Oreochromis niloticus: one gene and its partner. The protein of the gene in region 1 purifies or fractionates together with the protein of each later gene. This does not show direct contact. Links are inferred from orthologs where the notes say so. Each region holds a gene or a part of one and is shown in the gene's direction. Other genes may lie near its edges.

The links. The genes of interacting proteins can lie anywhere in the genome.
Region 2: the proteins of cdk1 (region 1) and cdkn1bb purify together in Homo sapiens (affinity purification with mass spectrometry; 8 studies listed by BioGRID and IntAct, counting the BioPlex papers as one, with this or other methods). This does not show direct contact. The link is inferred for Oreochromis niloticus from reciprocal best matches to the Homo sapiens genes CDK1 and CDKN1B.

What each region holds. Positions count from the first base shown.
Region 1 is NC_031978.2:31,832,134-31,835,886, reverse strand, and holds the start of cdk1 (cyclin-dependent kinase 1), read left to right. Parts: upstream 1-1,295; 5' UTR 1,296-1,442; intron 1,443-2,041; 5' UTR 2,042-2,047; coding exon 2,048-2,084; intron 2,085-2,355; coding exon 2,356-2,512; intron 2,513-2,902; coding exon 2,903-3,026; intron 3,027-3,753. UniProt on the Homo sapiens protein: Plays a key role in the control of the eukaryotic cell cycle by modulating the centrosome cycle as well as mitotic onset; promotes G2-M transition via association with multiple interphase cyclins.
Region 2 is NC_031972.2:46,457,973-46,461,725, forward strand, and holds the start of cdkn1bb (cyclin dependent kinase inhibitor 1Bb), read left to right. Parts: upstream 1-1,282; 5' UTR 1,283-1,678; coding exon 1,679-2,120; intron 2,121-2,343; coding exon 2,344-2,456; 3' UTR 2,457-2,462; intron 2,463-3,722; 3' UTR 3,723-3,753. UniProt on the Homo sapiens protein: Important regulator of cell cycle progression. Inhibits the kinase activity of CDK2 bound to cyclin A, but has little inhibitory activity on CDK2 bound to SPDYA. Involved in G1 arrest. Potent inhibitor of cyclin E- and cyclin A-CDK2 complexes.

The sequences.
Region 1 (3,753 bases):
CCTCAAGGTCACCTTACAATAGCACAAGAACAATAGCAACAATACAATATAATAAAACGGCAAAATAAAATTTAGCATTAAGGTAAATAAGAAAAAAAAATCAAGCATGAAAGTATAAAAGCTGAGCAAGGTAAAAATGGACTAATACGGAATCGGGTGTATGCAATTCTGAATAGATGGTTTTGAGACGTGATTTAAAAGTGGTGAGAGTTTGTGGTCCGGAGATCTGGTGGAAGTGCAAAGTCTCGGGGCAGAACAACTAAAGGCAACTAACTAAAGCAACTTAATCATGTGGAAATCCTTTTCCCTTATTTTTTTATGTTCATTCAAATAGTTATTTTTTGAGTGTATTGTGATCGACAAACACAGGTGTGAAAAGAAAAAGAGAAAAAAGTGTAACTGTGTTAAAAAGACATGATGTTGATATTCATATGAGACTGAGGTGAGCACACTGTTCCATCTGTCTAGCACAGGATTTCACATTGGTTATTACAAAAAGATAACATATATTTTATTTGTATTTGGTATAAGGTACTAATCAATGTAAAAAAAACAATTAGATAAATAACACAATCATTAAAAATACTGAAATGTAAAAAATGGGTTGCACATATCTCATTAATATCACACAAAATAGAAAAATATATTTATCTAAGCAGAATATTGGTCCATGTTATGTGTTTAGAGTTGCTGTGGCTTACAGCATTAAAGTGGGGACCAAAGTGATTTTCAGCAGTAAAATATAAATATAACATAAAAAATGCATACATTGTGCAGGATCTGAAAAGTGAAGTCAATGCAGAAATGCCATAAATATACATTGTTTTTAATGATCACCAGGGAACAAGTGGTGCAAGCATTATTAATCAAATCAACAGCTGCCTCATCATATCTGCTTTCAATACTTCTCAACTTCAGGCATTGTTACTTCCTGGATAGTTAATGGATAGTACAGGGCCACTGACATAAAATAGGGGTAGTTATAGATATGAATTTCTGACAGAGATATGTAGCCTATATTACACTTTTTTACTTAGCAAAATTAATGTGTCAGACTATGACTATAAATGCACTACTTGCTAATACATCAAAATTAATATTAATATCGTAATCTGTGTAATCTACAAACTGCATAACGTATACGTATTTAATCTAACTTTAACTAACTGTATGAATATATAGTATGTAATTCAACCGGATTTTACAAATGGGTAGGGCTTAAATATCCCAGCACCAGTGAATGCTCCCAAGGACATCGGCGGGTTGTCTCCCGCTCTACCCACATGACAGCCTTCCTTTCCTCTTATTGGCTGTTTTGAATATACATTCCGTGAGCCCATTGGACTGTTTTAACCTGCTGCTGCACTCCAGTCATTTCAAAAGAGTCCGGGAGCGTTCCAGCGGCAGTTTGTTCGTGTCTGTAAAAAACGAGGCACAAACAGGTAATTTTTTTGTACTTGCCAATATAAGTGAAATTTAAATTTTACATTTAAAAAACTCATTAGCTAATGCGGACCATGAACGCCCGACACAACGTGTCTCAGCGGTTAGAATGATATTCAAAAATGGTGCCTTTGATGGCTAAACACTTTGTTAAGCTAACGTTAGTGGTCCTCTCTTGGTCGTTAATCAGAAGAGCTAACTTAACGACTGCTTAATATCTAACTAGTCTTAGTTACTAAAACGAGTGAAAGAGCGCCCGAAAACTTGTGAGCTGTATAGTGCAATAAAACTAACGTTTTAAAACTTCCGTGTTCGTATTTTGAAGTAGCTTGCTCCATGTTCTGAGGAAAGGCCTGTCTGCATTACTGTAAATGGTTGAATTAACGTGACATGATTTTCCATTTTTAATGATTTCCCTATAAGTTAGTGCTAGATACTAACAGGCTTGTTGTATGGTTCACTTTTAAATAAAAGGCTGATCTAACCTAACATCGACACTAAACAAATGAATAGATATGCGTGTAAGCTGCTAGAAATGAAATGCAGGTCATCGGAAGTTGTTTACATTACAGCGTGTTTTTTCTCTTTCTCCTTTCAGGCAATAATGGAAGACTACCTGAAAATAGAGAAAATCGGAGAAGGTTAGTTTTAACATCTAAATTATTCACACGAAACTCTTCAAATGTTGATACTTCAAAAATGTGTCATTATGTGTGTGGTAAATTCTTCTTGTGTGCATCTTGTAATCTCTGTTTGCTCAACAGTCTCATTGTTATAAAGTTGTTCTAGTGTAACTTTTCTTTTGACAACAATTACTTTGGTAACTAATCCAGTAATGTATGTCCAGCAATTTGGAAGCATAAACAGGAGCTGCCAGTATATTCCAGTGCTCATGCTTGCGCTTTCCCCCAGGTACATATGGGGTTGTGTATAAAGGTAAGCACAAGGCAACGGGGCAAATTGTGGCTATGAAGAAGATCCGTCTAGAGAGCGAGGAGGAGGGCGTTCCCAGCACAGCTGTCAGAGAGGTTTCTCTGCTCCAGGAGCTGAAACATCCCAATGTTGTACGGTAAGCTCTCTGTGTTCAAGAGTGTGGCCTTTTCAAATTCTCTTTGTTTGATCTTAAAATCCTTTTGGTTTTTATAACATGAGGTTTGAATTTTTATATGTACAATACTTGTCAATATTCTCTGTATTGTGTAGTGCTCTTTATGCAGCATGGAGAGACATGGTGTTGGTCAAACAATAGAAACTATTGTGAAGTTTTAAAGATATGCATCAAGTTCATTATATAAATGCATGTGTAGCAATCGTTGACAAAGTTTCTGCAGGATCAACAGTTTCAGTATTGTGCAGAGTCCTGGAGAGGTCAAATAATTGCTCCTCAGTCACATCCTATGAGAAAATACGTAAAGTATGAATTTGTGTATTTGTGTGTATGTATGTGTGCGTAATCCAGACTCCTAGATGTCCTAATGCAAGAATCTCGTCTCTACCTCATCTTCGAGTTCCTGTCCATGGACCTGAAGAAATACTTGGACTCCATCCCCTCGGGCCAGTACATGGACTCTATGTTGGTCAAGGTAAGTATTAAATTAATTCAGTGGAGCAATAGTTGCTTGAACTTGAAGCTTTTAAATCTAAGATGGGTTACGTTTGCACTTTAGCTGTAACAAAACAAATTTCCCACCTGTGGGACTAATAAAGGTCATCTTATCAGATAATATATTACATAATTCATAAGCCAAATACTTAAAGTTACAGTGTGCAAAATGAGTAGATTGCAGTCGACTGAATTCAGTGTCTTAACTCTCCCAATTCAGGTGTGTAATCTATGCAATAGATAATATGGTGGCCATTGTGTTGATGAGTCAGTGAAACTCGCTTCCGTCCAGGGACAGCAATACTGATGTGACTTGTTAAGTATATCCTGAACTTTTCCTTCAGTAATTGAGGTCGAAGCGTGAGAAGGAAGAGCATGACATTTTATTCAGATGTTGCTCTTTTTCTTTAGCATTTTATTTCCTTCTCAGGTAATGAAATATGGATATGAAACCTCATATACTATATTGCCTGAAGTATTTACTCATCTGCTTTCACATTCACATGAATTTGAGTGACATCCCATTCTTAACCTTAACATTTCACAAGGTTTAGGAATGTGTTTATGGGAATTTTTGACCATTTCTTCCAGGAGCGCATTTATGAGCTCAAACACCGATGATGGATGAAAAGTCCTGGTTTGCAGTCTTGGGTCATGTCAGTACTCGGGTCTCCTCATGGACTTTGTGCACATGTTGAAACAGGAGA
Region 2 (3,753 bases), on another chromosome or scaffold:
CACATAGCCTGCTGTGACCTCTTAAGTAAATAATTGCTCACAGTAAAATTAAATTGCATCATTTCTTGCAGGTTGCTTGCTTCTATTTTAAGCAAATCCAATTTGTTTCATCTTGATCAGAACCTGAGGCGAGCATCTTTTTTGACATCACTCTTTTGTTTGGGGTTTTTTTAGGGGTTTTTCTTTTTTTTTTCCCCTTCAGTGGAAAAGTGTAAAACTTGGACGATAAAGAAAAAGAAGCTGGAAAAAGAAGCTTGATAAATTTAAAAACAAACAGTACTTTTGCTTGAAGATCACCTTTTTAAATAGAGCCTTAAATAAGAAAAAAAGTTTGGACATTATTTTCAAATTAAATTCAAAGCAGGGATTTGTACATTATTGTTGACCTGACTTGTGTTGAAAGCAACACATCTGCTCATTTTTAGCAGATTACTGTTTTTTTTCTAACAGATCCCTCCTCCTTGCAGGTAATGACCAAAACATTTAATCTAGTGTCCTCAATATGAGAGTCGGTGTAAATTTAGAAATCACTGCTTTGCACTTTTGCACACCCTGCCTACTTTTTTCCAGATTAGGGTTAAAAACATAAAATTAAAATTTTCCATATTTTTCTTTTTTTATTGGTAATTTCTAATGGGATTTGGATGGTGCTAGGGATTTGTGTAAACCTGCTAAGTTTTTCCTGAGGTGTCGGGGAAAAAAACTTTAGCATTGAGTACTTTTGGCTTCTTCTTTTTTTTAATTCTAAATTTGCTGAGTTCTGATACTGTGTGGTTTTTTAGCAGTGTGTTTTTTGTGTTGTTTTTTTTGCTCTGGGTTCTGGTGGCAGTGTGGACAGAGTCTGATGTGTGCTGACCTTGACCTTCCCCACTGAGGTGCAGATAATTGGTGGAAATGGCATGTCATAAAGATACACATTAGCCAGATTGGCACAGTTTTTTTTTTTTCTTTTTTGCTTTGTTTGTTTTGTTTTAATTTAATTGTTCTGCACCTGTTAGGAGTGATTTGTTATGCTATTTTTTATTTCAAAGATTACAATTTATCTTATTTGACACAGCCATGACAACATTTATTATCAATTACCTTTTTTTTGTACATCCTTTTTCCCCCACTCACAGTTATTTATTATACGTTAATTACAGAGTTACATATATACATGACACTCACACGCTGATATTTTTTGTTTTAAGGGAAAAAGAGAAATCAGAGCGGCTTAATTTAGCCGGTCCACCTTAAGAAAAGTAGGCGGGCTTAAAAACTCTGACCAATGAGCGACCTCTTTGGGAATTTAAATAGCTCAGTATGTCAATCATGCCCCTACCCCCACATCAACCTTTCGCCATATTGGGCGAAAGAGAAGGGTTGTCTGCAGTTTCTCTCGCTACGGGACAAAATTGACAGAGCGCCTTCAGTTCCTGAGCACTTTGTTTTGATGAGACTACGCAGGGCTTCACAACACGGCGGCTGTTCGCGTCTTCGTTCCGACGTATGCATGGCATAACGCGTTTTACGCTTGTTTTGGAGCTTTCTCAGCGAAGAGGAGATAACCGTTGTTTTTGAGTGTTGTGTGTGTGTGCGCGTGTGTGTGCTGCTTTTTTGTTTGTTTGTTTTTTTCCTCCTCGTGAAAAACTGGACGCTCCGGGCTGTTTTAAAAAATTGCGTGTTTCGCTGGAGCAAAATGTCAGATGTTCGACTTTCAAACGGGAGCCCGACGCTGGAGCGGACGGACTCACGGCAGTCTGAACACCCGAAACCCTCAGCCTGCAGGAGCCTCTTCGGCTCGGTGGATCACGAAGAGTTAAAGAGGGATTTAAAGGGACATTTGCGGGAGTTGGAAGAGCGCGCCTCCGACCAGTGGGGCTTCGACTTCGCCACTGACACGCCGAGGGCCAACTCCAGGTTCGAGTGGAAACTAGTGGATTGCAGAGACCTGCCGGGCTTCTACACTCGGCAGCCGCTTACGAAGAAAGGCGTCTGCTCCACTGGGAATAACAATGTGGATCTTAACGGGAATCACAGTTGTGTTGTGGTGCCTCCGAGCGAAGATCCCGACAGGGCTGACGGGCAAATGGAGTGCACGGAACAGTGTACAGCGCTGAGGAAAAGACACGCGTGTCACGGTACTACATACGCTCCAGTTTAACCCGTTTACATCAGTTGTTTCTGAGCAACGCAGCTGATCGCGTATTGATCTGCACCGAAAATAGATTTTTGAAAATCATGGCCCCAAAAAAGCACTGTTAAAGAGTGGGGTTTGCCTGCAACACTGTACCAATATTTTTTTTATTTTTTTTTTTAAGAAATGACGAAAATTTTTTTTTTTTTTTTTTTTGCTTTTTGCAGACTCCCCTGTTCCGAGCAAGAGGTCACACAGCAGCTCAGATGTTAGTTGTCCAAGTCGGAGTCACTCTGCAGAGCACACGCCCAGAAAGACCAGTCCCAAGAGGAAAACGTGAGAAAAGGTAAAGACTGTTTATGCAATAGTTTCCCCTTTTTTTTCATCTTTTTTTTTTTTCCATTAAGGAAAAGCAAAGATTTCTTTAAAAGAAAAAAAAAAAAAGGCCTGTGCATAGTGTAACTACAGTAGGCGGTTTACTGGCCGCTCCATCTCCCAGCTGGGGGGTACCTTTGGAAAACGAGTAAATCTGCAAAAACATCCGTTTATTCATTTAATAAAAATTTGATACCGCTTATAAACCATTAGGAGGCATTCTAATTCAGCTTAAACACCCCTTCAGTTCACTTAAATAAGATTTGGATGATGCACAGCTTTGACAGTCTGCATACCTTTTGTGCACGCCCTTCAAATGTGCTGTCAGTCTGTCTCATTCATTAATCAGCGGGGACAGAAGCATAAGGGAGTAAAAGGGGTTCTTCGGTTTTTTTTGGTTTTTAATTTTCCACTCGGGCAGAGAGAGCTCTGTCGATACACTGCGATCGAGGTGAAACAGTGGAAGGCAAAACAAACAAACAAAAAAAAATGCCTGTACATTTTAAAGATCTTTAACATTTAACCGCTGTCTGACACGGTGAGTCCGTTGAGTTTCCGTCGAAACTTGTAAACAACAAGTGCTGAACAACAGTGTAGTAGTGTAACACGTCAGCAACTCAGAGCAGGGACGGGAAGGGGCTGGTCTCTGTGTGCAGTGCTGCACACGCGTTGCACACTAACGTTACAACACACATCTGTCCCTGCCGGTGGAGAGTGTGCAGAAGAGTCGTGCAGGTCTGAAAGCAAGTGTGTGTGTATTGGCCAGGGCGACGTCCAATAGGCATGAAATCAGCATTGTTATGGCACGATGTTAACTGTCAAAGCTGGGGGGTGGTCACGTCTTTTTAATGCATTTTATTTATTTCCATTTTTTTAAATTGTAGAAATCAAAAAATACCCCCAAACGAGGCTGTCTCATAGGCACTTTCAGATCTTTTCATGATTAATGAGGGGTGCTAATGTAAAACTATACCAGTGTTTTTTTTTTTTGTGTTTTTTTCCTCAGGTGGGTCTTTATGTATTTATGTATTAATACATGTACAAAACTGATTAGTTCATTCAGGTCTCCTGCTGCTCTGAGGTTTACCCCTTAGACCACACTAAGTTATTTATTTTATTTATTCATTTATTTGTTTGCAGAAATTGTTGCATAATGCCCACATTAGTGTCATCATTGCAACCTCTTATGCTTCTGTTTTTTCTTTCTCCTTTCATCTGTTTTGTCCCACAGAACTGAAGATGAATGCCCCCCCCCTCCTTGT